Arabidopsis thaliana: one gene and its partner. The protein of the gene in region 1 interacts with the protein of each later gene in a pairwise test. Each region holds a gene or a part of one and is shown in the gene's direction. Other genes may lie near its edges.

Region 1 (14,665 bases):
GAGATCTCTTCTCGTAAAAAATCGATCTCTTTGACACAATCTCTCCATTTTCTTACACCAATGTGATCAAGAACTCGGAGTATTTCATCAGAATTCGGATTAATTCTGTTCTCAAACAGATTAAAGAACCAATAAACAGAGTCTATAGCTCGTTTGTCGTCTCGGTCGGGTCTTGCTTCGGATTTTCGAGTCTGACGCATTACTAGATAGATTAGCTCATTAACTTCTCCAGGTAAGTCAACAGACCTGACTGGAAACGTGTCGAGGCTAGTGGATATGGATCGGGTCAAATCCCGGAAATGAGCCGAGACTTGACCGGAGTTCATTAACATATATAGCTTAGCTCCATCTCTTGTACAGTCGTCTAGTAGGAACTTGAGTTTCTGGAAGATGACGTGAAGCTCTGAAAGGCTCAAGATTACCGAACGACCCGCCGGTATTGACCCGACTCGGATTTGAATCCGGAGCTCTTCAAAGAAGATCACAAGAGTTTGAACATGTCGGAGAGTTTCTTTAACACTTCTTTTGTTGGTAGAGAAGTGTTTTGGTTTGAAGCTAAGAATCTCGCCGGCGAGTTGTAAAAGTGAGTCGACGAGAGTGGTTAAAGAGATCGATTCGCATGGATTCACCGCCGGAAAGGTCAGAATCCGACGACTCGACCCGGTTGGTGTATGGATCATTTAATAAAGATAAGATATGAGTGAAAACAAAGATAGTTCTTTCAAGTCTTTGTTTGAAGTAATGTTTATGTTTGTGTTGTGAAGAGGATATATACACTTCGTGTGAGTGGGGGGTTTCAACGTTCTACAAGTTTGCGACACGTGAAGAGGTTTGATTAGTTCATAATTTTGGGGTCTGTAATTGCCACGTTGAATGGGACTTTGTTACACGTGAAGAGGTATGATTAGTAGATATGTTTTGGTGTATGTAAAATTGACACGTGGTATAGCGTGGCGATGAAGTGTGTGAGGGACCAACTGTTTCGTGAAGGTTCCGTGCATGGAGGTAGCCGACAATTTCTATGACGCTTCTGATATTTTTCATAGTGTGCAATTATTATAATCGTTTCTTTATTCGAGTTAGTTTAGATAAACATGAATTTCGTTGGATCCAATGATTTAGAGGAGACTTCGAGGATGTTATTGGATGAAAACATTATTAAGGTTTTGATAATTGTTCTTGAAGGACTAATTAAGTGGTTTTTAAATTCTGACTCTGTTTTCTTATATTATTTTTTTGTTAAGAGTTAATAAAGACCAACTTAGATAAATCATGCGATTATTTTGTAATTATATGCGACTAAAATAACATGTTCCTTTTGTCATAAATTGTACATTGGTTTTAGACACTGCTTCGAAGAAATATATGTTTTCAGGTCTTTATTTTATTGATTTAACTCGAGAGACTCTGCTATAGAGTTATTTAACAGAGTCGTCTCTGTGTCTCTTTGTCTTTTCTTTACATTTTCTGTTCTTTTAGTCAGATAATAGTTTTCAAGAAACAATGGACGGTGCAACTTTCTCATAGAAAATCAAAACATATAATAATTAGGACCCCATCCTGATTTTTTTTAACAAATAATTTCTCTTTTTAATTAAAATTCTCATTTAATTTTAACAGAAACCTAATACAATATAAAATATAAAAACCACATTTTTGCAAAAGTCCAGTATAGCCCGACTACACCATATAATAAGTTTAAAAAAACGAAAAAAATAAAATGCCAATTTTTTTTTTTAAATGCCGATTTATTGTTCTAAGAGCACTTATTAGGGAAGACTTTTTAAAAAAAATAGTTAATTAAATTTGCTATAAATTGTTTGACATGTATTTTGAAAGAATGTTATTATATATAGAAAACAATATGCGGCTAAAATTAAGATTTAAACCCTAATTAAGAAGATCACAAGTTAGGTTAATAAAGTAAGATGGCCCGAGAGAGCTCCACAGCCACTTCCAGTCTTCCTATCCACTGTAACGATCGTGGTCGTCATCGCCGGAATATTGACCTAATCAGCTTATTGCCTGATGAGATCCTCCAACAAATCCTATTATTTGTTCCGACCAAACTCTCGATCACAACTTCCGTCTTGTAAAAACGATGGAGGCATGTATGGTCCGATATACCTTCTCTTTCCTTTGATGATAGTGATACACTGCATGCTGCTTCGATAAACGAAACCCTAACTCGCTACACAGCTCTCAAGATGATAAAGTTTCATCTCAAAACCAGCAACCAGCACACTGTTCCCCACTTCGACAAGTGGATCAAGTTCGCCATGTCCCGCAACGTGGAGAATCTATCATTCAGTAGTACTTTTTTTCATAGTTATAATCTTCCTGATTTCTTCTACATCAATTCCTCTATTAAGCAACTCAGCTTTTGAGTTATTTAATATGATTCCTAGATGTTCCGTATCTTGGACGTCCCTGAAGAAGTTGTCCCTGCGTTTTTGTGAGCTCTCTGATGAATGTATTGCGAAGATTCTATCTGGTTGTCCGATTCTCGAAAGCTTAACATTGTCCCACTGCATCTACCTTACGGTTCTTGATCTTAGCAAATCGCTGCGCTTGAGAACATTAGAAATAGCCTGCAACATTGACAATACGAGGCCAAGGCAGATTGTGGCACCGCATATCCATCGTCTCAGACTGAAAACCTATCAGTCACCATGTGCTTTAGTTGATGTCTCGTCTTTAGATGAAGCTCAAGTGGACTGTTTCATTTACTCACATCTAAAGACCCTCGACGCTTATTTACTTCAAGACATTCTTAAAATGCTAGAGAAGTTGCAGAATGCAGAGAAGCTTATTTTTGGGTGCAACATTCTTCAGGTATGTTTTGGGCTCATTCTTGCATTCTCCAATGTCTTCAAGTACTCTCTTACTTACTTCACTTATGTTGGTTGCACACTCAACGTTTACCGATGCTATATAAGTTTACTAATGGACTAATGGTACTCATCAATATGCGTTTTGGTGTTGACTATCTATCTTTGTGTTAGATTTTATCTCTTGCCGAGGTTTGCGGTCTTCCTTTCCCGATGTTCAAGACAAAAGCTTTGACTCTTGAGACAGATATCTTTCAGTATGTTATTCCTGGTATAGAAAGACTTTTACAAAACTCACCTGATTTAAAGACGGTGACAGTTCGTCCAAGTGATGGCAACATCATGCCGGTATATTTACCACAAACTTCTTTGATTTTTTTCATGGCCTACCTTCTAACTACCTTCCTTCTAATAATCCAAGAACCATGTTTACTCTTCTGTTGTGTAGGGTAGGTGTTTTGACAACTACTTGGACTTGCAAGGCTTGAATCCGAATCAATGTTGGAGATCAAAAGATGGGGTCTTTTGGAATAAATCCCGTTCGAATTTAGGGTCAAAGAGAGTGACTTTATTCGTGGAACTTATGCTTAAAAACACAAAGATATTAGACAAGATGGTCGTTCAGTTAAACGAACATTACCTTAGGTCTAAGTTAAAAGAGTTTGTTCCAACATTTTCTCAGAAGAATAATGTCTTGATTGTGCTCTCAACCACACTGAGACTATGAGTGGTGTGAATCATTTGGTTTAGTCTTGATTGAACCTCAATTAAATATAGTGTTTTTTCTTTTCTTGTTTTTACTAACTATGTTCGAAGAGTGGTTAAAACCTGCAATGGCTTGTGTCATGTATGATGGTAATAAGAAGATGGATCTTTAGGTATGGCTCTAATACAAAAATAAAATTTATAAAACGTTTCCAAAGAGTGATCAAAACAATGCCTTTTGTCTCTTAAGTGACCGAAGAAACCTTAAAACAGACATGAGATAGAGAAAGCAGTTTCTTTCCACCTTTGTTTCATTTTTACACTTTTAGTGCTCGGCTTTTCAAGACTTGTATCTCTGTCTTCCATATTTTAGATCTTCTTCAGCTTCGAGAAGGTTCCTGACTCTGAGAAGTAAGTGCTTTGAGTCCCACTTCCTAATCCTAAAGCCTGCTGAGGATTGCACAACTCTATTCCCTGTCAAATAGATAACCAATTGGAGTCAGACAGTGATGCAAATGGAACACAGGATCAAACTTTTGTCAAGAATCGAATGAAATGTTTGTACCTGCACAGGAGTGAAAGCCAGGCTCGATGTCAAACCAGAGGTAGTCGCACCACCCGCATACTGCCTTTCTTTAAGCCTGAAAAAGTAATTGATATAAAGACGCAAATGAGATATGATGGAAGAAGAACAGGGCAGGATAATTTGTAAGAGTAAAAATATTAACATGATAAATCCGAAAAAACACAGGAGAAATAGAGGAACACTTACTTTTTGGCGACCTTAGCATTAATCTTAAGCTTGCTCGGAACACTGGATACTCGCAGCCTGTTGCTTCCTGCCTGGCCAAGCATTCCATAACCTTCTCCTAGTCCATCACCTATCATCATGAAGAGTAGATATTAGACTAAGTGCCTTATAAGTGGCCATTAACAAGTGTAACTACAAGATATATTACCGAGGGAGCTCTCTTCAGGTGTACCAAACGCCATTCTGTTGGCCAGCTTCCTCATATCTGTTACTTGATACCTGATTTAAAGAGAAACGTAAGAATGCAACAAAATAAATACAGGTGAATAGAACTCAATCTACAGTAATTAAGGACACAAAGTAGGATGAAAAAGGCTACCTTTCTTTCATTTTTCTTAGACGGCGACCACCCCTTCTTTTCTTCGGTTCAGAATCAGGAACAGGAAGTGGCTTAGGCTGTCTTGCAGGAGGAGGTTCTTGCCATTTCTCAATCTTCTTACGGATCTCCTCCCTGAAAGCTTTTCCACTTATCCCTAACGGATCCCCTCTAGTAGCATCAACTCTTGCTGCCAAAGTTGATTTTGCAGCCACGAGCCTGCCAGCGCGAGCCTGAAGTCCAGGAGGCGTGCTTTGGTAAATCTCTGTCTGCTCCAGATAACCCACACGGGACTGAGACGTTGCAGAAGAAAACCCAGCAAGGTTCTTCCTCTTGTGGCCAAGAACTTGAACATTACACGCAGGCATTTTAGCAAGTGCTGACAAACCTCCAGCAGTCCCCATGAGTTTGGCTGCAACAGCACTCCCAACAATAGCAGAAAGATTAGGTGCAATAGATCCCATCTTACTTTCAACAAACTCAAGGACCTTCTTCCTTGCGGAATCAAGATCTAAAGCCCGATCACAAGCCTCTAACACCTTTTGCAAAACATCCTCTGGCAGTGCACTCCCTTTCGTAGTTAAAGCAGTAACTGAAACAACCATGATAATAGCTGAAGGAAGAAGGTCAGCGAGATCAACAAGAGCCAAATCCGTCTCATTCCCAATCTTCTTCACAACACATGCATAGTCAATAGGGTGATGAACCAACGACTCAAGCTCTTGAAACTTAAGCTTGTACTTGTCTTTGATAAAGTTGTGGACAATAACGATTTCATTCTCAATATCGACCGAAAGCTGATTACAATCCACAATAAGCTTATACTCAGGATCATCTTCCAAGACAGTTCCTTTCTCAGCTCCATCAGAATCTTTCCCAAGAGCCTCCTCTACTTTATGCATAATATCAGCATATCTCTGACTCTTCTGCAGCTTAGAAACATTATCGAGATCATCATAGTTAAGTGTCTCTAAATCAGCCATATCCATATCAACATCTTCTTCTTCCTTTCCAACATCACCATCATTCTCGTCCTGCATATGTATAATCAAACAAACTACAATTACAATCATAGCTCCTCCAAGTAAACAGATAATAGTAATCAAAAGTGTTTTAACACTCACCAATTCTGCTTCATTGTCAGATAACTCGTCCAAATCAGCAAGGAAAGAATCTTCAAGAGTTGCCTATAACAAATCCAACATATTGAAAGTTAGTAAAACAAGCTTAAGAATAACTCAAATCTCGGAAACAAAGCAATATCTATGATCTCGGAATCCCTAATTTTGAAATTGAACTTTAGAGAAGATGAGTCAAATCAAAATTAACACAATACGATTACAATAAACAGAGAATACAATCGCCAATAACTGAAACAATGAAGAAAATAGAGTTAAAGAAACGCTTACCATATCTCTTTCTACTTGGGAGGCAAAAGCTTCAGTGATTCTCCTACGGATAAAAGAAAAATCGTTGATTCAGAAACCCTAATTTATAGAGAAAGCTTGGGATATACACAATTGATTAGAGGAGGATAATCAAAAGTTACCTGAAGAATCGAAGGAGAAATCAATCGATTAGATTCGAGAAGAAAATTGAAGAGCAGCGAGCGACTAGTGTTTTTTCCTTAGGAAGGCGAAGAGGAATGTTTTCAGTTGAAACCTTGTGTGCTATAAAAAAGTCGAGTTTCGAAGCCGGCAATATTTGGGCCTTTTTTAATGGGCCTTCTTTGAAACTAACACTAGTAAATGGGCTTCTGCAAATTTCCGTTTTAAAATATCTTACTATACAATCTTTTGTTGAAATAATTATATTTCTACAAAAGGAAGTTACTCTTTAGGTTTGCTTCAGTTCTATTTTATGTCACACTAGATTTTAATCCGCGGTACACCGCGGGGATAATTAATTTTTTAATATATATAAAAATTTGCAAATTGTATCTATATATAAAATATTTTTATTTTAAAGTTTACAATTGTTATTAAGTAACGTCCTGCCAAACCCGTCCCGTAAAAGAAACCTATTTATTTTATTAATGTTGATTTTATTTATGATATATTTATAAATCATTGTATAAATATTTTGTAATTTTGTAGTAATTAACTGCTATCAAATATTTCTGCGGTTTGATGCTTATAATCGAATTGTTATAGTCATGAAAAAAGCAATATCAAAAATGATAATTTTGTAGTGTTTAAATGATATTAAATATTTTGGAAGTTTTATTTTAGTAACTAATTGTGTAGTTAATATGGAGAGATTTCGGGAAGATAGTTAAATGTCAAATATTTAATTCGAAGATTTACTTTCTAATTATCAAAAATAATTATTAAATGTCAGTGGCAGCCACTGTAAATAAGTCCCAACTTGAGGATTTATTTCACAAAGTGGCTGCAAAAATGTATATATAGATTAAAATAATTATACATATGTAGCAAATTTTATATTACAATTACAAATCAACAATTTTTTTTGATAAAACAAAATTTTCACCCATCGAAAAAAAAAAATTCTCTCTTTATAATGTGTTTCTTGAAACAACAAAAAATTAAACTAAAATCTATTGTATATCAAATAAAATAGAGTAAAATGTATCTAAAAAAATGGTTGAGACAGAGATCCTTGTTCTCCATTGGGGAAAATGTTGCTACCAAAAAAGCAAAGAAACTAAAAAGAGTAAATTTTTTCTTGAATAAAGTAAATTTCCATTATACATAACAAAAGAAAGAAGGAACTAAAATACTTTTATAGGATAAGGATAGATAATCGAGGAAAAAAAAAAAAAAATATAGTGTTTTCATTGGGAACGTTATTAAAGTAGTTCAAATAATTGTCTGTTTCTTGACAGTAACTATGAACATGTTACCCGTGAGATATTGTCAGAGAGTGAAGTCACACTCAACCAATAACAATGACCAATCCAATCTCTTCTAATTTTTCCTCCAACCAAAATTATAATCCTTTCAAGAAAACAGAGTTGTTAGTTTCTCTGCTTCTTCTCGTTTTGGAGGATTATTCTAAATAATGGAGGAAATTGAAGAAGGAAGCAGCAACAACAGCATAAGACGTGTTGGTACCGGAAGTAGTGACCGGAGATGGGTTGATGGAAGCGAGGTAGACTCTGAAACGCCGCTGTTTTCAGAAATCAGAGATAGAGACTATAGTTTTGGGAATTTGAGGAGAAGATTAATGAAAAAACCCAAAAGAGCTGATTCTCTTGATGTTGAAGCTATGGAAATTGCAGGTTCTCATGGTCACAATCTCAAGGTTAATCACCCATGATTAAAGTTTTGATTTTTATAAGTGCACATGTTGTGTTTGTGTTATTGACATTGAAAAATGAAAACTTTTTTAGGATTTGTCACTTTTGACTACACTTGGAATAGCGTTTCAGACGTTAGGTGTTGTGTATGGTGATATGGGAACAAGTCCTTTGTATGTGTTCAGTGATGTGTTTAGTAAAGTTCCTATAAGATCAGAAGTTGATGTTCTTGGAGCTTTGTCTCTCGTTATCTACACTATTGCTGTGATTCCTTTGGCAAAGTATGTATTTGTAGTCCTTAAAGCTAACGACAATGGCGAAGGTAATGCTTCCGCACCGATGTGTTTAGTAAAGTGAGATATTTAAGTGGTTTCTCAGGATATGTTTGTTATGTGTGCAGGAGGGACATTTGCGTTGTATTCACTTATTTGTAGGTATGCAAAGGTGAATAAGCTGCCAAATCAACAACCTGCGGATGAGCAGATCTCGAGTTTTAGGCTTAAACTCCCAACTCCTGAGCTGGAAAGAGCTCTGGGGATTAAAGAAGCTTTGGAGACAAAAGGGTATTTGAAAACTCTTCTTTTGCTTTTAGTCCTAATGGGAACTTCCATGATTATTGGCGATGGAATTCTAACACCAGCTATGTCAGGTGAGTCTTATTTGTATTAATACAGTGTAACTTGAGCTGCATTTACAGTTGGAATTTGATCTTCCTTTTGATTCTTCTGCAGTGATGTCTGCAATGAGTGGTCTACAAGGTGAAGTTAAAGGATTTGGAACAAGTGGGTATCATTATCACATGATTTCTCTCTCTATGTCTTGATGTCAATTTGATCTTTGATTTTCAATCTTGATGTGTTGTTCTTGTCAGATGCATTGGTTATGTCTTCGATTGTGATTCTCGTGGCTTTGTTCAGCATACAACGGTTTGGGACGGGTAAAGTTGGTTTTCTATTTGCTCCAGTTCTGGCGCTCTGGTTCTTCTCTCTTGGTGCTATTGGAATCTATAATCTGTTGAAGTATGACTTCACTGTCATAAGAGCACTAAACCCGTTTTATATCGTTTTGTTCTTCAACAAGAATAGCAAACAGGCTTGGTCTGCTCTTGGTGGATGTGTCTTATGCATAACAGGTAAGTCAACACGCTTAACAACTTCTAAAATAAATCAAACCTTTCTTACAAAGTGTTTAAAACTACGCAGGAGCTGAAGCAATGTTTGCAGATTTAGGACATTTCTCAGTTCGTTCTATACAGATGGCATTTACTTGCGTGGTGTTCCCATGCCTTCTCTTAGCTTACATGGGTCAAGCTGCTTATCTAACAAAGCATCCCGAGGCCTCAGCTCGCATATTCTATGATTCAGTTCCAAGTAATAGTTCAATATATCCTTAATCTCTCAGCTTTGATTATATTAGATGTCAAAAATTCTGAAAGTTGTGATAAAATGCAATGTTGAGCAGAGAGTTTGTTCTGGCCGGTGTTTGTGATTGCAACATTAGCTGCTATGATAGCTAGCCAAGCCATGATCTCCGCGACTTTCTCATGCGTCAAACAAGCCATGGCTCTCGGTTGCTTTCCAAGGCTGAAGATAATCCACACTTCTAAGAAACGGATAGGTCAAATCTATATACCAGTTATCAACTGGTTCTTGATGATCATGTGCATTCTTGTCGTCTCCATCTTCAGAAGCACAACCCACATTGCCAATGCTTACGGTCAGTCTTTCGGTTTGATTTCTACGCAGAGTCCTGAAAAGGCTTTCTCGTTTTGATATTTTTTCTTCTTTTTTCCTGTTTCAGGCATAGCAGAGGTAGGTGTAATGATGGTTAGCACAGTTTTGGTAACTCTAGTGATGCTTCTTATTTGGCAAACCAATATATTTCTCGCCCTTTGCTTTCCCCTTATATTTGGATCAGTGGAGACCATTTACTTGCTAGCTGTTCTCACCAAGATATTGGAAGGCGGTTGGGTTCCGCTAGTATTCGCCACTTTCTTCCTCACTGTAATGTACATTTGGAACTACGGAAGTGTACTCAAGTACCAAAGCGAGGTCAGGGAAAGAATCTCCATGGATTTTATGCGTGAGCTCGGTTCAACTCTTGGGACCATTCGAATCCCTGGGATTGGACTCCTTTATAACGAGCTTGTCCAAGGTATACCTTCCATTTTTGGACAGTTCTTGCTCACTCTTCCTGCGATTCACTCAACAATCATCTTTGTCTGCATCAAATATGTTCCTGTCCCGGTTGTTCCTCAAGAAGAGAGGTTCCTCTTCAGACGGGTTTGTCCTAAGGACTACCATATGTTCAGGTGCATTGCGAGGTATGGTTACAAAGATGTCAGAAAAGAAGATTCTAGAGTCTTTGAACAGCTTCTTATTGAAAGTCTAGAGAAGTTCTTGAGATGTGAAGCATTAGAGGATGCTCTAGAGAGCACTCTGAATGATTTTGATCCCGATAGAGTTTCCGTTGCAAGTGATACTTACACGGACGACCTCATGGCTCCTCTCATCCACCGTGCAAAGCGTTCTGAGCCAGAGCAAGAGTTGGATTCAGAGGTTTTGCCATCTTCAAGCGTAGGGTCGTCTATGGAGGAAGATCCAGCTCTGGAATATGAACTTGCGGCTTTGAGAGAAGCCACAGACTCGGGGCTAACGTATTTACTGGCTCATGGAGATGTAAGGGCGAAGAAGAATTCGATTTTCGTGAAGAAGCTTGTGATTAATTACTTCTATGCGTTTCTAAGGAGAAATTGCAGAGCTGGAGCTGCGAATCTCACTGTTCCTCATATGAACATCTTGCAAGCTGGGATGACTTATATGGTCTAGTGTATGATTCTTTAGCTATACTCTCTTTGGAACATTTCTCCTCTGGATATCTCCATGAATTAGGGTTTGTTTCTTGCGGTTGACGTCTGTGACTGTCGTTACCGTAAGGAACAAGCAAAGGTTGAAGATTTCCTAATATTATTTATATTCTAATACTTAGGGAAATAAAAGTGTATCAACTACTTAATACAAATATACCAAATTCACTTGTGATTATAGTCTAGTGTGTTGCTAAATTTAAAATTGATAATTGAGTTTAGATGTGCATATTTTTTGCATCACTACTAAATTCGCATGGTGGTTTATAATCATATTAATTGAATAATCTGAGTTTCAACTAAAGATATTTGTTAAAGAAGCATAGAGACCAATAGGTAAGTGGGATTTGAGTTAGTCTTTGATTGGATGTTAAAGTAGATAATGTGACATTCTTTTTCATATTAATGTCGAAAAACAAATTTCTAATTACAAAGTGAATCCTACTTGTAACTCACTGCGCTTCTTTTTATCCCCTTTATGTCACTTAAAGCTCTAATTAAAAATCTCATTAAACAAAAATCTTTGAATTTAATTTGGCTACTAGCTAGTGACATGTTAAGTTGCCCCTCCACAATATATTTTATAATAACTAAAAATATTACAAAATTTGTGACAGCTTCACATACAAATGTCAAATTCAAAAGACGAGTGTACAAATAAAACTCTCATATATGTTTATGTAGTAGATTATTCGTATTGGTCGAGTTTGGATTACTTATTAAATAAAAGTCAATACAACAAAGTGAAGGGACACCTTCACCTATGCTTTGAATAACAACCATCATTTATATTTGTTTATAGTCGAAGGGGTCATTTTCTGGATAAATAGACTCTTTTCCATCACTGTCAAAACTATTATAGAACAAACAAATTATAACATAGTATAGTTACTAAAAATTGCTACTTTGATTGGAAAAATATTCAGAAATAATTTAAGAAATCATATGATTAAATGACAAACAGTACAAATAAATTATTTAATGTTGCTTCGAATCGTTTAAAAATATATAAATAGATTTTTCTGTTCGGAATCTCTTAGTTGATAAATTAAAACAATAAAAGAAAAACATAATATAGTTGTATATTGAAGTTTATGCAACTATCGATTTGATATCCAATAACAATTTGTATCTACTGCTAATTTCTATGTGTATGCTATGTCATGTACACTATTTGTTTCTATCAAAGTGAAGAAATTAAGCATTGGCATGTCTTTGAATTACATTATATATAAACCCACGTACATGTGCAACATGTTTAGAAATTGTGCATGTGATAGTAATATACCTACAAACTGAAACAATCACTCAAGAATTTTGTGATTGGGAATTTAGTTATTTTAAACAAATGTTTGGATGGTAAAATTAATAATAACTCCTTGGTTTTCAAGACTTGATAAACATTTGATATTGAAGCAGAGTAACTTAGAAGATAACTGTGAGTTAGGAGAGATTATTTCTTTTCACCTAAAGAGTTGTTAATAAATAGAAATAACTTAAACTAGTGGCATCGACAACCAGACCGCAAATTACATGAATGGATTGTAGCAATACGAGCTAAATAGTCGGGTTTTGAAGCAATTTTTTTTCTAGGGAAAACAACTGAAGTGAAAATCAGTGGAAGGGTGCATTGGTGTCTATTCGACTGATGTTTGGTCTAAAAAATTGGACTCATATCTAATATCCTTACTAAATTGATAAATTGTCCTTAATTCTTTCACATTACCAGTTTTGATTGGTGACTTTCAAATGAGGAAATTTGGGATTTGTAACACATTTCACATTTTTTTAGTAACCATATAAAGAGAGAAAATTTGTAACACCTTCACAATTTGTTTACTAACCATATAAGTTTATAAAATGTAATTGCATTCTGTAATGCAAAACAAACTATTCACCAAAATATTATAAACTAAACAAATTGTGTTGCTTCGTTTCAACTAATATGTTTTTTCTTTTGCCGATTAATTTTGTGTCGTTCTTTTATAATATCCCTATTTGGTTTTAAGTTTAAACATACCAAAAAGCAGTCTACAGTAATTTCTGATGCATCTTGACTTAATCCAAAAACAAAAGTATCTCTTTGTACCACGTCTCTTAATAAATTTCGTATCTCATTGTACCACGTCTTTTTTAAGATACAGTTTTGCGAGTAAGTAGTGTTCTTAACTAGAAGTAGACAAGATCTTCAAATCCAAAAATCCGATCCGAATTCCATACCTATCGGTCCCAAAAAAAGGATGATTGATCAAAAATAGTAATCTTACACCAACACACAACCCACAGTTTCAAAAAAATAAAATAAAAAATAGACATGATATTAGTTTTGTCGACTTGCGGACAAAGGTTGGAACTAGAACAATTGAAGTGGCCTTTGATTTATGCCCATAATAAAAAGACTTGCACGGTTGTCTATAACTTCCAAGACAATTTATGATTCCTGCTTAGTCTGTATTTAATATTTATCCACTCGTTAGGTCATTTTCACAACTTTCCATTTCCTTTTCTTATCTCTATGTGCTATCTTCTTTAATTTTTGTCCTTTTGAAAAGATGAACATTTATCTTTATTTGTTTCTTTCCTGGTGTCACCATTGCCGACTAGGGTTGGGTACACCGTACACGTATCATGTTTATATACTCTCTCTCATTTTTTTTAATGATGTTCAAAATTTTGACATATTATTTAGGAAATTATTTTAATAATTTGTATTAAAATATTATTTTCCTGATTTTTTATAATTCTGTCATTTAAAAGTTTTTCATATATATTAAAATTAAGTAAATTTTCATTACAAAAAGAATTAGGAAGGTAAGAGACAAATAAAGTTGATATTGTAAGATCTGTGGTGATTGTGACTGTATATAAATATCAGACCATTGATTAAGAAATTTTTAATTAGAATCTCTTTTGGTGGGTCTGCGTAAGATTTTCTTTGACTCCTTGTTAAATATTACACACGTAAATTATAGACTTCAAATTTCGTGATGTGTATCGTTGTGTAAAAACAAATGTAGAGGTTATGATTGGTAAGATACTAGAGTAATTACATTGTAATAGAGAGGAATGAATGAACAGAAGAAAAACAACACAAAGAAAGGTATAAATCCACCAAAAATAAATTATCATACTCTAATAATGTCTACCAGTTATATCCGTAAATATTGAACGACAATTTCTAATTATTTTATAACTGCAAACAATTAAATTTTTTGTTAAATAGCTAATATAATTAACAAAAAAATTAAGATAGTTGGTTGCCTTGCATTGATAGTAACTTGACAGTAATCCTCTAAATTAAGGTATTCGCATAATAATTATCTTTACGTTTAAAATAGAGCCTATAAAAAAAGTAGAAACTTTGAAAAAATGAAAAAAAAATGCCCAATTGGTCAACTCAGTTAGGTTTATGGTAATATTTCGTCGGTGAGAAGATGAGGATCAGGCCATTAAGAGTGTGGGTCCCACCTTATGAGCTAAAACCGAAAAACGCGGCGAAGTGGATAAGCCAGTGGGACCCATACCGTCGTCACAGCACCACAAGCCACCAACGCATGTTTTTTGTCTATTCACGTACCCCGTGGCGACCACGTGCCCAAAACATAGTATATTTTTTTTTTTCGTTCTTTAAACACCACAAAAATTCGAACCTAAACTTTGAGACACCTAACACCTTCACAAATTTCTTTTTATACATATAAGACTAAAAACTACAAACAATTGAGATATAATGACAACAATTGCTCATAAACCAATATAGGGAAGATATACTAACGAATCCATAATAATGGGATTCTTTTAAAACCTTTAACAAAAATAATTCATTTGAGAACAAAATAACCATACATTAAGTAGATTTTGTTTAATTTTATTG
Region 2 (16,431 bases), on another chromosome or scaffold:
AAACGAAACACAGTTTCGATCTCATTAGACACCAAAACTTCTTATTCATCGAGATTGAATCGTAGAAAATCAAGTAAAACCAAAGAAAATCAAAACCTCGAGAGATTGAATCGTAGCATCATTCAAAGACAATTCAACTTCGTAACCATTAAGCTCCTCTTCCGCTACTTCTTTGATACGCTTCGCTTTCTCAACTTCTGAATTCGCTGCTTCAACTTCCGATTGTAAAATCTCTATTCTCTTCTTCAATCCAACAACTCTTTGCTCTTAATTTGAAAAATCACAAACAATCAGAACAATAAATTCTCCAATTACAGAGACTGATAAGATCAAAATCGCATACAATCAACAACTAAAACTCAAAATAATGGAAATCTATATCATCTTCTCCAGAATCTGTACAAATTTCTATTAAACACATTCCGATTTCTTCTTCTTCGCGAAATCTCCAGAAAACGAAGAAAATGTATGAAGTATCTTACCTCCACGAGATCTTTCAGAGGTGAAATCGCGGATCAGAGAGAGAAGCTGCTTCTGCGTATCGATTCCCGCCATGGTTTCTTCGTGTGTTCAAGCTCTCTACTGAGAAAAATATCTCGGTTCCTTTCTAAAACTGTTCGCGTCTATGAGAGAGGCGAAAAATTAGAAATATCGGCCCATATTTATGGAGGCCCAAATTATCGAGGGTTATCGAAACTGTATTTATGAAAATTGACGTCATGAAAATTGTATCTAACCCATATTTCAGTTAAATCTCATGAAACTTAATTTGATTGACGTGAATGACTACTTTCAAAACATGATCAGGTGAATCTTCTTCACTAAAAGGAATTATGGAGAGTGGATGACGAATGTGAAACTAGGTTTAGTCGACAAATTAGTGATAGCTCCAGTGGGAGGATGTTTTAGAGGATGAAGGAGATTAGTTAGTAGCAAACGTTATGGTATGTCATCATAGCCGCCCTGGACAAAAATTGATGAAGCATCTGCGTGCGGCCATAGATTATATAGCCAATATAATCGGCGTGCATTTTAAAAGTATTTTCTTGTCCTATTAGTAAAAACAATAGATTTTAATTTCAAAAGATAATAGTTCAAATTTACGTTTTTTTTTTAATAACAGGCCTAAAAAACTTGTGGGGTTGTATGTCATAAATTATAAATACAATTGTACATCAACCCAAACGATCATGATCCATTGAGAGATAACCGAGGAGCATAGGGATATTCTAGTAGCGGAGCTAGTGTATTGGCAAGGGGGTCAGTTGACCCCCATAACATTTATAATTTTTTAATTATAACGTAGATAATGATTTCTAGATGTTTTTCTTTAAAGTTGTCATAATGACCCCCATAAATAGTACTAGAATCATGCCTCTTTTTTATGATGGTAGAAACTAGAACCATGCCTTTGACCCATGCATTTTCATTTTTTCAATTAAATGTTAATCCTCTTTCCATTTTTATTTTTTTTTTCTTTCAAAATGGATAAAAATTTCTAACATCTTCTTACATATTAATTTTGTTTCTTCTGTTTTAGACATTTTGTTTCAGATTTTTGTTTGTAGTTCATCTCTTCTTAAAAATTTATACTTTAAATATATCATATCATATTATATTTAAATAAAAATAATTAAATATTTATGATCCGTAAACAAAAATTCTGGCTCCGCTCACCCTATATTCTAATAGAGAAAATATAGTATGAAATGATACATTTAAAGCATAAATTTTAATTACAGGGTCATATATATTTAAATATTTATGATATATTTAAAGTATAAAATGATTTTTGATAGAGAAAAACTCCATATGTTATTGGACAAAAACAAAAGATTTTTTTAGTGCTATGGAATGCATAAATCCCACAAAAATATAATGTATATATATATATATATATCTGTTCCCCTATCTATCGTACAATATATTCCCTTATGAAAATGTGTATAAACAACCATACGAAAAAGAAGGCCAAACAAAAGATGGCACTGTTCTTGGAGAATCTATGAGCAAATATATGTTCTTAGGATTCACATAGGAGCCACGTCGAATCCACCATCTGAAAGTTATTTTTTTCGATGCTAAGAGTTAAATTGCGAAATTGACTATTGTAAACTATTGTTAAACTGAAATTGACTATATAATGGAAAACACGTTAAACTGATTAAACGTCTCATCAATAAAATAGCTTATTGACATGACACTTTGGAGATAGAGGATTTCTTCGTGATACAACTTTAGTTAAGATGTGGAGGATATGAGGAAAGAGTTAACCAGACGTAATTAACATGAATACAAAATTGAAAAAATCCATTAGTAAATTTAGAGGACTTTAGGACTTTTAAACTAAAGTGCATACCGATCACTCCCAATAATCCAGTGGACATCTTTTTCTCAATCTGCTAGTGCGACTATCTTATACATAATTCGACTAATAAAGTGGAAATGGTTTTCGTATACACTAATAAATTCAAAATATTTCTCTCAAAGATACCACCTTTTACATAATTTAGTTTGTAGTAAAATAAACAAAGTTCTAGTAATGATTTAACGGAAATGGTTTTCGTACAACTATTGGGTGTGTTATTAATTTTTATTTCTTGTTTGGAAAAGTTCTAATTTTCGTAACTCTTCTATATATTTTTTACAAGTTTTAAAGGGGTCATAGTGGCGGTTAGAACGTTACAAAAACTATGATAACAACTATATAACTAAAACAGTAAAATAGATAGTTGCCCTAATTCTACGTTGCGTTGTCACTTTTGTCATGTCATCCACTTGGGAAAAGAAATAACATTTATATCGAGCAAGAACTTCAGTAGTGACAAATTCAGCATACGAGGAAAATAGCATATTGACATGACATGAGACTTAAGAGATAGATGATTTCTTCGTGATATTACCTAAGATGTGGAGGATATGAGGAAAGAGTTAAGCAGACATTATTTAAATGTCATCTTTCACTATAAACGTGGGTCTTATCTCTAATCTCATCGGCTTTTTAATTAGTTATCTTTGGAAAAAAATCAGGTTTTTGAAATTTTGTAAGCGGACAAAGAAGTTCATTTGTGATATCTCACATGGACTTTCGTGAGCCATCAGATATTTCAAGTCATACTATATCTGATTTCAAGGCTTGGAAGGAAGCTCAATTAACTTGCCGATGTAATAGTTCAACTGGTAAGGTCCATAACACATGAAAATTTTCAAGTGGATGGATCTTGGAAGGATTGCCAACCCTAGTTTTGTCTCTCTTTATTTAGAGTTTTTAAACCATGTTTTTTGAGGGGATCGAGAGACTAGATTTTGAGACTGATTGCGCGGAGTTGATCAAGATGATGCATTGTCTTGTTGATTGACCCGTCTTCTCTAGCTTTCTAGATGAGTTCGGACTACTTGAAATCCTTTTATTGTTTCTCGTTTTTTTCAGAAATAATTATTGTAATTGAAATTATAGAATGTATTGCATATTTTGTTGAGTACGTACTTTTCTATTGATTAATTATAAGACTTTGAACTACAAATCTCTTGATAGAAATCACACTTTGGCAGTGGAAAACATGGAATTATAAACATGGTGGTAGAGAGGAAGCATTGATTATAATATTTCACTTCCATATTGTATATTTCTTGGTTTTCTGGTTCACTATCGAGTCGTTTTTACTGTCTTCTTTGGTGGGCAACATGGAATCTTTAAAAGAAAGAGCATAATCTAAAGAGATTAGCAATCACTTTCATAAAGTATAAGCTAAAGAGATTAGCAATTTACTATTGTTTCCAATCAAACATTAAACTTTTAACAACACTCCCAGAGTGATTGTCCATATAAGATTTCACTACAGAAAATGGATGACGTCGATTTACCAGCTTCACTTCGTAAACCAACGTAAAATTTTTAATATATGAAGGTCCATTAAAATAAATGTCCACTACATAAATCAGAGTCTAAACTGTTTATTTGATTTATTAGCTTATGCTTAAGAACTTTTACGAGCTTCTTTGTAATTGACTTTAAAGCGAGACAATATTAACGTCATACAATAATACGACGGTCTCCAAACTGACGGTAGAAGTTTTAAGTCAGCTTATATATAACTGACGTTACACTTAATATTAACCGACGTAATTTGCCGTGTTCTCTTTGTAATGTTGCGAGAAAGACATCTATAAAAATTAGATCATAAAATTTGAGTCTAGAATAACATGCTAAACAATCTCCTGTACTATCTTTTTAAATCGAGTAGTCGCTGGTGACGTCCACAAGAAAAATTGCGGTCATTTTGCCAAATCATGAGAAGTCCCTTTAACTTTGCGAAAGTATGCAATAAAAACTCAAATAAGTATGTTTCCTAAAAAAAAAAAAAAATTGTATGGTATGAGAAATTTAAACTATTTTGATATTGACGTTCGTCGTTATGTCGTAAAATCAAATCAATATCTTTACAAAAGCATTGTGAATTAATGAAGAAATTAACCTAATTGTTTATCAAAGAAAAAGAAACAGCAATACACGAAAGTATTTGAAGTTCATACACAAATTAAATTTTGAAAACTAATTTATTAGCTTAAAGCCTTGAAGTACTCAGCATATATTATTTTATTTGTTTTCTTGTAGCTAGGTTACTGAGCCTGGTTCGCGTCTTCGCGAGGAGTTGTATAAGTTTTACCGAATTAAAATAGGTACTGCAGGTATATAACAGATGTTAACAAATAATATTATATATATCATATCATATCACTTTCGGTGAAGTCGCTCTGTCTCGGCTACTATATATAGAACAATCAGGAAGACGGAAAAAATAACATTACACTTGAAAAAAATCCACAAATATAAATGAAAAGAGAGAATCTTTTGTTCTTGAAGAAAAAGAGAGAAGAAGATGAAGACATGGGGAAGCATGAGATCAATATTCATGCATGCCGACGGTGTAGATTGGATGTTGATGGGATTAGGGTTAATCGGAGCCGTCGGTGATGGCTTCATCACTCCTATTCTTTTTTTCATCACAGCCATGCTATTGAACGACTTCGGTAGTTTCTCTTTCAACGATGAAACCTTCATGCAACCCATTTCCAAGGTCCTTTCTCTCTATCTCTCTTCTTTTCTCTTTGTTTTGGTTTATATTCTCTCTAAGTAGGATCATAATACTAATTTAAGTATATAAGATTATATACAATAATACAATATATATATATATATATTTAAATTATAGTATTTTAAAAATTAAATATTACATGAATTGTTTTATATAATTTTATATTCTTTGAGTTGTAAAGAGTAAAGCAAATTAAGCAATGCTATTTTTTCATTTAATGTTATTTAAATTGATTTTGTAGGTTAAGGGGATAAACAAAAAGTTTTGTTTCATTAAAATTTAAATTCAAAGAATTTAGTTTAATTTCCATAGGATATTATATTCTATAACTAAAAAAGTTGGTAAGCAAGAGTTCGAGACTGAAAGTGAGAGCCATGCTAATCTCTAAAATGATGACTAAAATACATATATTTTTGCTATTTAATACGTTCATAGCCAATTTAAATAAAAATATTTCTCACATTCCCATAAATTAGTTACTACCAAACATTCAAAGAAGAAGCAGATAGACTGGATTATGAAGGGCGGGTCAAAAAGGCAATTGAACATTGGCTTACTGGGTGTAGTTAGATTATTTTAGCCAAATAAACTAGCAATAATCCAACAATTATGATAGAATTAACTAAATTACAATATTTAAATGAGTAGACTTTTTTTTTTCCAATGAGTAGACTGTAGACATAACAAGTGGTTTCTCATGTAATGATGACAGAGAGTTGTACAAATTCCAGCCAAGAAATTTACCTTAAAATGGAAAATCAAAACTAGACATGACCAAGTAGACCAAGCATGGTGGGATTCTTAATTAAAACGATCGGCTTATGACTTTTTCAAAAAATAAAAAACTATCGTCTTACATATATGTCCATATGTGTATGTTAAATAGGGATAGCAATAAGAGAAATGTGAAAACCCAAATATTTTATTACATAATCTTAAACTTCTTACTATAACTCAACGTGTAGTAAGATTACGATTACTATATTGCCCCACATATCAATTACATTACTTAAATATATAGGAAAGAGTACTAATATAGTATCTTCCTTCTTTTTTTCACGTTGTAACTAACAGAATGCTCTAGCCATGCTTTATGTGGCTTGTGCATCTTGGGTGATATGTTTCCTTGGTAAGTGTGTTTCTTTCAATTTTTTTTTTATCAAATTAAAATATTAATTTGGTGCACCTCAATATAACAAATTTTGTTTAATTTTGTGGATGGGTTTAATATTTAAAACAGAAGGATATTGTTGGACAAGAACAGGGGAGAGACAAGCAGCAAAAATGAGAGAAAGGTACTTAAGAGCAGTGTTAAGACAAGATGTGGGTTACTTTGATCTTCATGTCACAAGCACTTCTGATATTATTACCAGTGTCTCTAGTGACAGCCTTGTCATTCAAGACTTCCTCAGTGAAAAGGTTTTCAATTTTTATTTATCATATTTCTTGTTCTTAAACAATTTTTTTGATGATTTTGAATTCAAACAGTTACCAAACATTTTGATGAATGCATCTGCGTTTGTCGGAAGCTACATAGTGGGTTTCATGTTGCTGTGGAGACTCACAATCGTAGGCTTCCCATTCATCATTCTCCTCTTGATCCCTGGACTAATGTACGGACGAGCCCTCATTGGCATCTCGAGGAAAATACGTGAGGAGTACAATGAAGCTGGTTCTATCGCCGAACAAGCCATCTCTTCGGTTAGAACCGTCTATGCATTTGTTAGTGAGAAGAAGATGATAGAAAAGTTCTCAGATGCGCTTCAAGGGTCGGTGAAGCTAGGGTTGAGACAAGGGCTAGCTAAAGGAATTGCTATTGGGAGCAATGGTATAGTTTATGCTATATGGGGGTTCTTGACTTGGTATGGAAGTCGGATGGTTATGAACTATGGCTACAAAGGTGGTACTGTCTCCACAGTCACAGTTTGCGTCACCTTTGGTGGCACGTAAGTATTTAAGTTTAAGTCTCTTGGCATTTCCTAACACACAAAAAAAAAAACATCTCTTAGTTTTGATATTTGGTATTTTACATTATGCAGAGCACTTGGTCAAGCATTGTCGAATCTTAAATATTTCTCCGAGGCGTTTGTGGCAGGGGAACGGATTCAAAAAATGATAAAAAGAGTCCCTGATATAGATTCAGACAACTTGAATGGTCATATTTTGGAGACTATAAGAGGAGAAGTTGAATTCAACAACGTGAAGTGCAAGTACCCGTCTAGACCCGAAACCCTAATCTTTGATGATTTATGTCTGAAAATTCCATCAGGGAAAACTGTAGCTCTGGTTGGCGGAAGTGGATCGGGAAAATCAACAGTGATATCGCTTTTACAAAGGTTCTATGACCCGAACGAAGGCGATATTCTCATTGATAGTGTGTCCATTAATAATATGCAAGTGAAATGGTTGAGATCGCAAATGGGTATGGTTAGCCAAGAGCCATCGCTCTTTGCCACATCGATAAAGGAGAACATATTATTTGGTAAAGAGGACGCATCCTTTGATGAAGTAGTGGAAGCAGCCAAGGCCTCAAATGCTCATAATTTTATTTCGCAATTTCCTCATGGTTACCAAACTCAGGTTTAGACTCATATCTTTAGAGTAAATTTTTAAAGCCTTTTTTGTGTTTAGTTTGTTAATGAGAACGTATATTTGGTTTTTGTGTAAACCGAAAAGGTTGGGGAGAGAGGAGTGCATATGTCGGGAGGCCAGAAGCAGAGAATCGCAATTGCACGAGCGTTAATCAAATCACCGATAATTCTTCTCCTAGACGAGGCAACAAGCGCATTGGATTTAGAATCTGAAAGGGTGGTCCAAGAAGCCTTAGACAATGCATCAGTTGGTCGTACAACTATTGTTATTGCCCACCGTCTCTCTACCATTCGTAATGCTGATATTATATGTGTTCTACATAATGGTTGCATTGTAGAAACTGGATCGCACGACAAACTCATGGAGATAGATGGTAAATACACTTCTCTAGTTCGCTTACAACAAATGAAGAATGAAGAATCATGTGATAACACTAGCGTAGGTGTGAAAGAGGGCCGAGTCTCGAGTTTAAGAAACGATTTGGATTATAATCCAAGAGACTTGGCTCATAGCATGAGTTCAAGCATTGTTACGAATCTTTCTGACTCGATTCCTCAAGATAAGAAGCCGCTTGTGCCATCGTTTAAGAGATTGATGGCAATGAATAGACCAGAGTGGAAACATGCATTATGTGGTTGCTTAAGTGCATCCTTAGGTGGGGCCGTACAACCAATTTACGCATATTCGTCCGGGTTAATGATATCGGTATTTTTCCTAACCAACCATGAGCAGATCAAAGAGAATACAAGAATTTACGTGTTATTATTTTTTGGTCTAGCTCTATTCACTTTTTTTACTAGTATCAGTCAACAATATAGTTTTTCCTACATGGGAGAATACCTGACTAAACGTATCCGAGAACAGATGCTCTCGAAGATACTAACGTTTGAAGTCAATTGGTTCGATGAGGAAGAGAACTCAAGTGGTGCAATTTGCTCCAGACTAGCGAAAGATGCTAACGTGGTATATTTTCTGCCTTATTAATTTGACCTTCAATGAGAAATATATTTACCATTTATTGATCTTGAATTGCTTTGTCATGATAGGTAAGGTCGCTCGTTGGTGAAAGAATGTCATTGCTGGTACAAACCATATCAACAGTTATGGTAGCTTGCACAATTGGTTTGGTCATCGCTTGGAGATTCACCATTGTGATGATTTCAGTACAACCAGTAATTATTGTCTGCTATTATATTCAACGTGTTCTGCTCAAGAACATGTCGAAAAAAGCCATCATTGCCCAAGATGAAAGCAGTAAACTAGCTGCAGAGGCTGTCTCCAACATCCGAACCATCACAACCTTCTCATCACAAGAACGGATCATGAAATTACTCGAGAGAGTTCAAGAAGGTCCACGAAGAGAAAGTGCCCGCCAATCATGGTTAGCTGGGATTATGTTGGGGACTACGCAAAGCCTTATAACGTGCACCTCAGCTTTGAATTTTTGGTATGGTGGTAAATTAATCGCTGATGGGAAGATGGTATCAAAAGCATTCTTTGAGTTATTTTTGATCTTTAAGACTACAGGCCGGGCTATTGCCGAAGCTGGGACAATGACGACAGATCTAGCCAAGGGCTCAAATTCAGTTGACTCAGTATTCACAGTGTTAGATCGTCGAACCACCATTGAGCCGGAGAATCCGGATGGGTATATCTTAGAAAAAATAAAGGGCCAAATCACATTTCTCAATGTGGACTTCGCTTACCCAACGCGACCTAATATGGTTATATTCAACAACTTCTCCATAGAGATCCACGAGGGAAAGTCGACAGCGATCGTAGGTCCAAGTCGGTCGGGTAAGTCAACTGTAATCGGGTTAATCGAACGGTTCTATGACCCGTTACAAGGTATTGTGAAAATCGATGGCCGTGATATAAGGTCGTATCATCTAAGATCACTTCGTCAACACATGTCTTTGGTTAGTCAAGAACCAACATTATTCGCGGGGACAATCCGAGAAAACATAATGTATGGACGAGCATCTAACAAGATCGACGAGTCGGAGATTATCGAGGCAGGAAAGACGGCAAACGCTCACGAGTTCATTACATCACTATCAGACGGCTATGATACGTACTGCGGAGACAGAGGAGTACAATTGTCTGGTGGTCAAAAACAGAGGATAGCTATCGCCCGAACGATTTTAAAGAATCCATCAATTTTGCTCCTCGATGAAGCTACAAGCGCTTTGGACAGCCAATCAGAGCGTGTAGTGCAAGACGCCCTCGAACATGTGATGGTAGGGAAAACAAGCGTTGTGATCGCACATAGGCTTAGCACGATCCAGAACTGCGACACGATTGCTGTTTTAGACAAAGGAAAAGTTGTAGAAAGTGGGACACACGCTTCCTTGTTAGCAAAAGGTCCCACAGGCTCTTATTTCTCATTGGTCAGTCTTCAGAGAAAGGTCAGATATGTATAAATTATAAATTCACATATGTTTCACAAGCCTAAAACATGAAGCATGTTACCATGTAGACGTATTATTGGGTTTGTTAGTTGTTGGTGTAAAAATAATGCTGGGGTTCATTGCGTCTATACCTTTTAAAACCAAAGAACATGATCACTGTTGATGAAACTAGCTACGGACTAGTATTATTTCCTTCATCATTGCACGTTTGGTTAAGTTTCTAGACAAGTGGTTTCTTAGATCCTGAGAGGTGAAAAGTCAATGTCTTACCATCTTGGGACCGAGTAAATAAATCTTTCCTCAAGCAACCACAAGTGAGATTGGCTTTAACTAAGACACCTCCTTATCCTACAATGGATAAAAGAAAAACTTGTACATATCAAAGTTTACAGAAACAATAAACTTTGACAATGCAATCTTAGTCATGTTGACAGATTCTCCTCGCTTTCATAGCCAAGTGAGAACGGGTTCTCTGATCATCATCAGTCTCTTCACTATTATCGTAGCAGTCAAAGTACCTACCTATACAGATGCGGACATGCCTACATACTTTCAGGATGAGAATTCCAGGTAAAATAGATCAGAATCTATATATATATATGATGTCTTTTCCTGAGTATCCTGTTTAAGAAGACTACAAAAATCTATTTATGAGCCTGAACTAGACACTAGCTGCTTCAACCTGTCTAAGAGAAATCTGGTAGGTCTATATGTGATTGATGCTTTCTATATTTCTTAACTCTTGAGATTTCGGTTAGGGTTCATTGGTTTTGGTACAGCAAATAGTTTTTTGTACAGGTAGAGAGATATCTGAACACGGATACATCATGCTGACCAATACCATAAAAACATTAATGCATTTGTTTCCAGTAATTCCATGGCATGTCGAAAATGGTATATAGAAATGAGAAAAATAGTTGGTAAGGGTCAACATACTTGATCTCCCTGAAGAAGTAAGCTCAAAACTTCCAAATTCTCTGCTTGGCATTGTTGACATCGGCATTTCTTTTGCAGCTCCTCCCCGAGTGAAGCCAATATCTGTTCCAACTCGGACGTCTGCTTGTTTTCTGTCAAGGGAACTATTCTTTTGAAAGAATGGCAAGTCAACCTGAAAAGTACAAGCACTGGCTTGCTTTTCTATCCTAGGAAAAAATTGCCTTGCTGTAGAGTACAGTACATGCCGCCTCAATAAAGAACAGAACTAGCAGGTGAAAATGTGATAAATGATTATGCAACTGTAATTATGAGTATATAAATCATGTTTCACTAGCAAGCGGAATTAAGGATATTTAGCAAGAACTTGAACTGAATTTGTTTTCTCTGTTATGGCCTCAATGAGTGACATTTTTTTCTCATACTCATCAAACTCCTTCTGCAGCTACATATAGAGAAACCGATATTGATCCCCATTTCTTCTCTTCATAGTATGAATAAACAAAATCTAAAAAACAGGGAATTGATAAGCTAGAAAAGGTATTAGGAGCAGCAAAGTAACAACATTCAAGCAACTTGGTCCTGGTCCATTTTACCTGTTCTTGCATCTTCTGCTCAGCCAGGTATCCTTCTTCCTCTTTCGCCAATTGAGAATGTACATCAGATAGCAAATTCTTAATAGCTTCTAAATCATCTCCAGAGCAATCCTCAAAAGCTTTGATATCTGCTATTACAAACTCATCCAGAAGCCATCATCTCTTAATAACACAGTGAAAAATCAGACAAGAAGAGTAAACTGCAAACATTAGCTACTCACTTGCGGTTATGCCAGTACTATCCTCATCGGCCAAACTCGAATCTACTGTTTTCTGGAACTCCCTTTTACCAACCAAGCAACTTAAGATGTGTAGCAACATCATAAGATGAAAACGCAAAGAATAGAAAATAACCTTATCTCCTTGTTCAGTTCTTCCATTTGGCTTATAAACTGATCTCTGTATATCACAAAGAGTATAAACAATTTACCAAACATAACCTAGGTATAAATCAAGAACTATAACTTATTAAGACGTTAGAAAGATCAAAATCACCTGAGTAACCCTTCCTTGTTCTATATTTCACCAACCATCAAGTCATCAACAAAAATTCCAGAATGTCAAACGAAGAAATCAACCAACCAAGCACTAAAACTCAAAGAAACAATGTGTAGGCAAACCTTAAGAGCATCAACTTCATTGCCAATAGTAGTTACTTCATCCTGAAGAAGACTGATCCTAGCATGTGATTAAAAATTAAACATAAAACACAGTTTCAATCTCATTAGACACCAAAACTTCTTATTCATCCCAAAAGCCAATTAAATCAAAACCTCGAGAGATTGAATCGTAGAATCGTTCAAAGACAATTCAACTTCGTAACCATTAAGCTCCTCTTCCGCTACTTCTTTGATACGCTTCGCATGCTCAACTTCTGAATTCGCTGCTTCAACTTCCGATTGTAAAATCTCGATCCGTTTCTTCAATCCAACAACTCTTTGCTCTTAATTTGAAAAACCACAAACAATCAGAACAAATAAATTCTCCGATTACACCAAAAACTAGAAATAACCAACAATGTATATCTGTTCGATTTTGTTTCGAATTTCTACTACACGCTTTCCGACTTCTTCTTCTTCGCGAAACATCCAGAAGAAGTACAAAATGTATGAAGTATCTTACCTCCACGAGATCTTTCAGAGGTGAAATCGCGGATCAGAGAGAGAAGCTGCTTCTGCGTATCGATTCCCGCCATGGTTTCTTCGTGTGTTCACTTCAAGCTCTCTCTACTGAAAAAAATATCTCGGTTCCTTTCTAAAACTGTTCGCGTCTATGTGAGAGGGTTTAGGCCCATATCGATAAGGGCCCAAACTATTAAGCTCAAATATATTGAGGAAATTAATTAGACATTTTTAAGAACTTGTAAATTCGATTTTTTTTTTAAAGTTTATTTCCCCAAACGAATACTTAGTGTTACCCCATTATATGATATATCTGGTAGAATAAAAATATAAAATTTTGTTGATTTTGTTATAACTGAAGAGCAAATAAGTTTATAAATCCAAATCCTCGGTTCCTTATTAATCAAAAATTTTAGAAAGAACAAAATTGTTACAAAAAGATATAAATTTCAGATTTTTTTCTTCATTTTTATTAGTTATTAATGATGAATTGTACATTTCAATAAAAATAAAAATTTGAATATTCTCAGATTCCTCAGTTATTAAAACTTTTGTTGAAAATTGTTTTGTTTTTGTTTTGTTTTTTCTTTCTTTTTTAGTCAGTGAGTTGTAAAACATTGTTTTTGCATACATATACAACCAATATTTAGGGAAAACAAAATAATTGAAAAAGTGAAAGAAAATGCCGCTTTATTTCGCATGTAAGATTAAATTCAAGGATGGTTGACAAAAATCATCAGCTCGAGAGGGTATGGTTAGAATTCAACATAGAATATTGGAATGTGTTCTAAAGTAAGTTATAAAATATCCAGTCATAAACAGTTGATTTTGAATTAAAATCCCATAAAACTTTAATACTGTATGATGAAATGGTAGAAAAATGTTGAGTTCCCTAGGTCTCGTCCGTGAATGACAACTTGAAAACATGATCATGCGAGTCATTAATATTCACTAAAAGGAATTATAGAGAATGGATGAGGAAGGTGAGAATTAATATTTCCGCCAAGAAAAAAACTAGGTTTAGGCGACGAATTAGGAAAAGCTCCTAATGGAGGTTTTGGAGGATGAGGAGGATTGCCGATTGCTTAATGTCGAATGTTTTGGTTATGTAATAGATTTATAAATACCATTGAACATCGACTTCGAACGACCATAACACATCGAGAGATAACCAAGGAGCTCATGCTCACTCTATATTTCACTACAGAAAAAAAATACAAATGTTATTGGACAGAAACCTAAGATTTTAAAGTGCTATGGAATGCATAAATATGTGTTCCACTATCTATCGTCCAATATATTCCCTTATCAAAATGTGTATATATACAACCATACGAAAAAAGGCCAAACAAAAGAGTTGATGGGACTGTTCTTGGAGAATCTGTGAACAAATAAATTCACATAGGATTCACATAGAAGCCACGTCGATCCCACCATCTCAATGTTTTTTTTTCGATGCTAGGACTTAATTGCGAATTTGACTATTGTAAACTATATAATGGAAAACACGTTGAAGAGATTAAACGTCTCCTCAAAAGAAATTTGTTGGACATAGTTATTAGTAACCAAAAAAGTTTATATTCTCTTTCTTTGTTTCATACTACTTCATGCCAAACAAGAGAATGTGCTATGTAGTGTGCGCATGCGAAACAAACAAAAAACAAGAAAGAACAGACCAAAGAAAAATAATGGATCAACTAAACCCTCTTGGGGACTTGCTTAAGAATAAGAAAGAACAATCTCATGTTACACACAAGAAAAACAAAAAATGTTAAATACTTGTTTATATATTGTTTTTACAAACGGTTGAATCACTGGATTAGTACTAATTGATACATACAGTATCTGCTATTTATGTAGTAGTTGTAAAATACTAAAATCAGTTGAATGCTGTAAATTTTTCTACTACACGATTTTGGTTTTGAGTGCGCAAATTGAATTTTAGAATTTTGAAAAACCAAAAGTCATGTTTATAAAACTTTTTTCTATACAAATTAGTAATTAAATTGGTTAATAGTTAAGTTAAGTGGATACATATACAAAATTAGTCCGAGTCTCGTATCCGTTTATGTGGTTTTAATAGCTGAAAAAACAAGTTTATATATCTTAAATATTTACGTTTTTAGAGTTTTATAAAATAATTAAACGGCTAGTCAATATTTATGAATTCAGAAATAATAATTTTGATAAAATATATGTAAATGATCCATTAATTAATCACGTTGTATAATCCATTTCCTCAAAATAACAATTGTATTTAATCTCTTACGAGTTACGTCTCAAAACAAAAAGTAGAATAATGTAAGCACTATAGATGTACGTTGAGAGCTGATGATGATGATGCTTATGGTGCTGTGAGGTTTAGTGGCTGGGAGGGAGTGATAGTCACTAGTAGGCCAAGTTGCAATTGGTGATGGACTGATGAGCCTTTTGCCACTTATGGAAACCAACATCTCTTATGATCTGGTGGACATCTTTTGCTCAAGCTGTTAGTAATGTGATCATATACATAATTCGACTAATAAAGTGGCCATGGTTTTCGTACAACTATATTTCTCCCAAGATTCAAAATTTAGTTTTGGATGAATATACATAGTTCGACACATGTCCACTTGTTAGCATGATTCGAAAATTGCAGCTTGAAAGAGGATTTTAATTATGTGGTTTCCAAAAATACCACAAACAGAAAAGTTGAGAATATAAAGTTTTAGATTAGGGTTGACTGTTTTAGATTTACGGTATATTTTTAGGGAATATGGTTAGAGTTTAAGGTATTTTATAGAAAATAAAAACTTAAGTGGTATTTATGAAATATCAAGATTTCGAGAGGGTACTCTTTTTATGGCTGAGGAAGAAGGTGAATTAGAAACTGTTGGGCTGCCCTAGCGAAAGGTTTATGGAAGTCGAGATTCACGACAAGCTGGCCCCAGATTTTGGCTCATGTCTCAGCTCCCCATCTTGATCGTGTAGAAGGCTTCCTTCTCCTCTACGCGTTTCAAGCTACAGTATACACTGTCTAGAGAGAACGTAACGAACGAAGAAATGGACCACCAAACTCCTCGGCTCAATTGATCAGCTGGATCGATAAGCAAGTGAAAAATCAGATCACCACCATTAGAGGCATGAGGGATAGACGTTATGATACAACTTTCCAAAATTGGCTCTGAGCTCGCGTTTGATTCATTTTAAATTTTTCTGAGAAAGTTAGCAAGTCTATTTAATTTTTTTATCAAATACACGATGCACTAGTTATTTTTTCTATGAATATAATTGAACATTAGATTCAAAAAAAAAAAATACCAAGATTTCTTTGGCCTATACTCATTAGGAGTACCCTTATGAATGATTGTAAGACAGATATTAAATGGTATTTTTGGAAAACCAAAACTTAAGTGTAGGTGATCCTATTACGGACTATTACGGAAAGAGTGTCAGCACTGTTACAATTTTGAGAATAAACTATTTTGTCTAGTATGTACCTTTTCTATTGATTAATTATTAAATTTGAATTAGAAATGTCTTAGTAGTGGTGAAAATCATGGGTTATAAACATGGCAGTAGAGAAGAAGCATGGATTATAAATGTCACTTTCATCATGTATCTTTCTTGGTTTGTTGGTTCACTATCTAGTCGCTTTTACTATCTTCTTCGGTGGCAAACATGGAATCTTTAAAGGAAGAAG

Evidence for each region.
Region 2: the proteins of AT1G60160 (region 1) and ABCB16 interact in a protein complementation assay, tested with the Arabidopsis thaliana proteins (one large-scale study listed by BioGRID).

What each region holds. Positions count from the first base shown.
Region 1 is NC_003070.9:22,184,418-22,199,082, reverse strand, and holds AT1G60160 (Potassium transporter family protein), read left to right. Parts: upstream 1-7,539; 5' UTR 7,540-7,687; coding exon 7,688-7,930; intron 7,931-8,018; coding exon 8,019-8,247; intron 8,248-8,325; coding exon 8,326-8,574; intron 8,575-8,656; coding exon 8,657-8,707; intron 8,708-8,796; coding exon 8,797-9,057; intron 9,058-9,127; coding exon 9,128-9,295; intron 9,296-9,386; coding exon 9,387-9,641; intron 9,642-9,725; coding exon 9,726-10,753; 3' UTR 10,754-11,053; downstream 11,054-14,665. Other genes in the region: PUB19 (ARM repeat superfamily protein), read right to left, coding at 1-680; emb1220 (pre-mRNA processing ribonucleoprotein binding region-containing protein), read right to left, coding at 3,906-4,010, 4,102-4,177, 4,309-4,417, 4,496-4,566, 4,667-5,697, 5,788-5,850, 6,073-6,075. UniProt on the Arabidopsis thaliana protein: Putative potassium transporter.
Region 2 is NC_003074.8:10,604,751-10,621,181, reverse strand, and holds ABCB16 (P-glycoprotein 16), read left to right. Parts: upstream 1-4,820; 5' UTR 4,821-4,880; coding exon 4,881-5,078; intron 5,079-6,170; coding exon 6,171-6,225; intron 6,226-6,336; coding exon 6,337-6,515; intron 6,516-6,584; coding exon 6,585-7,042; intron 7,043-7,135; coding exon 7,136-7,676; intron 7,677-7,772; coding exon 7,773-8,651; intron 8,652-8,734; coding exon 8,735-10,111; 3' UTR 10,112-10,158; downstream 10,159-16,431. Other genes in the region: AT3G28370 (spindle assembly checkpoint component), read right to left, coding at 97-266, 483-555.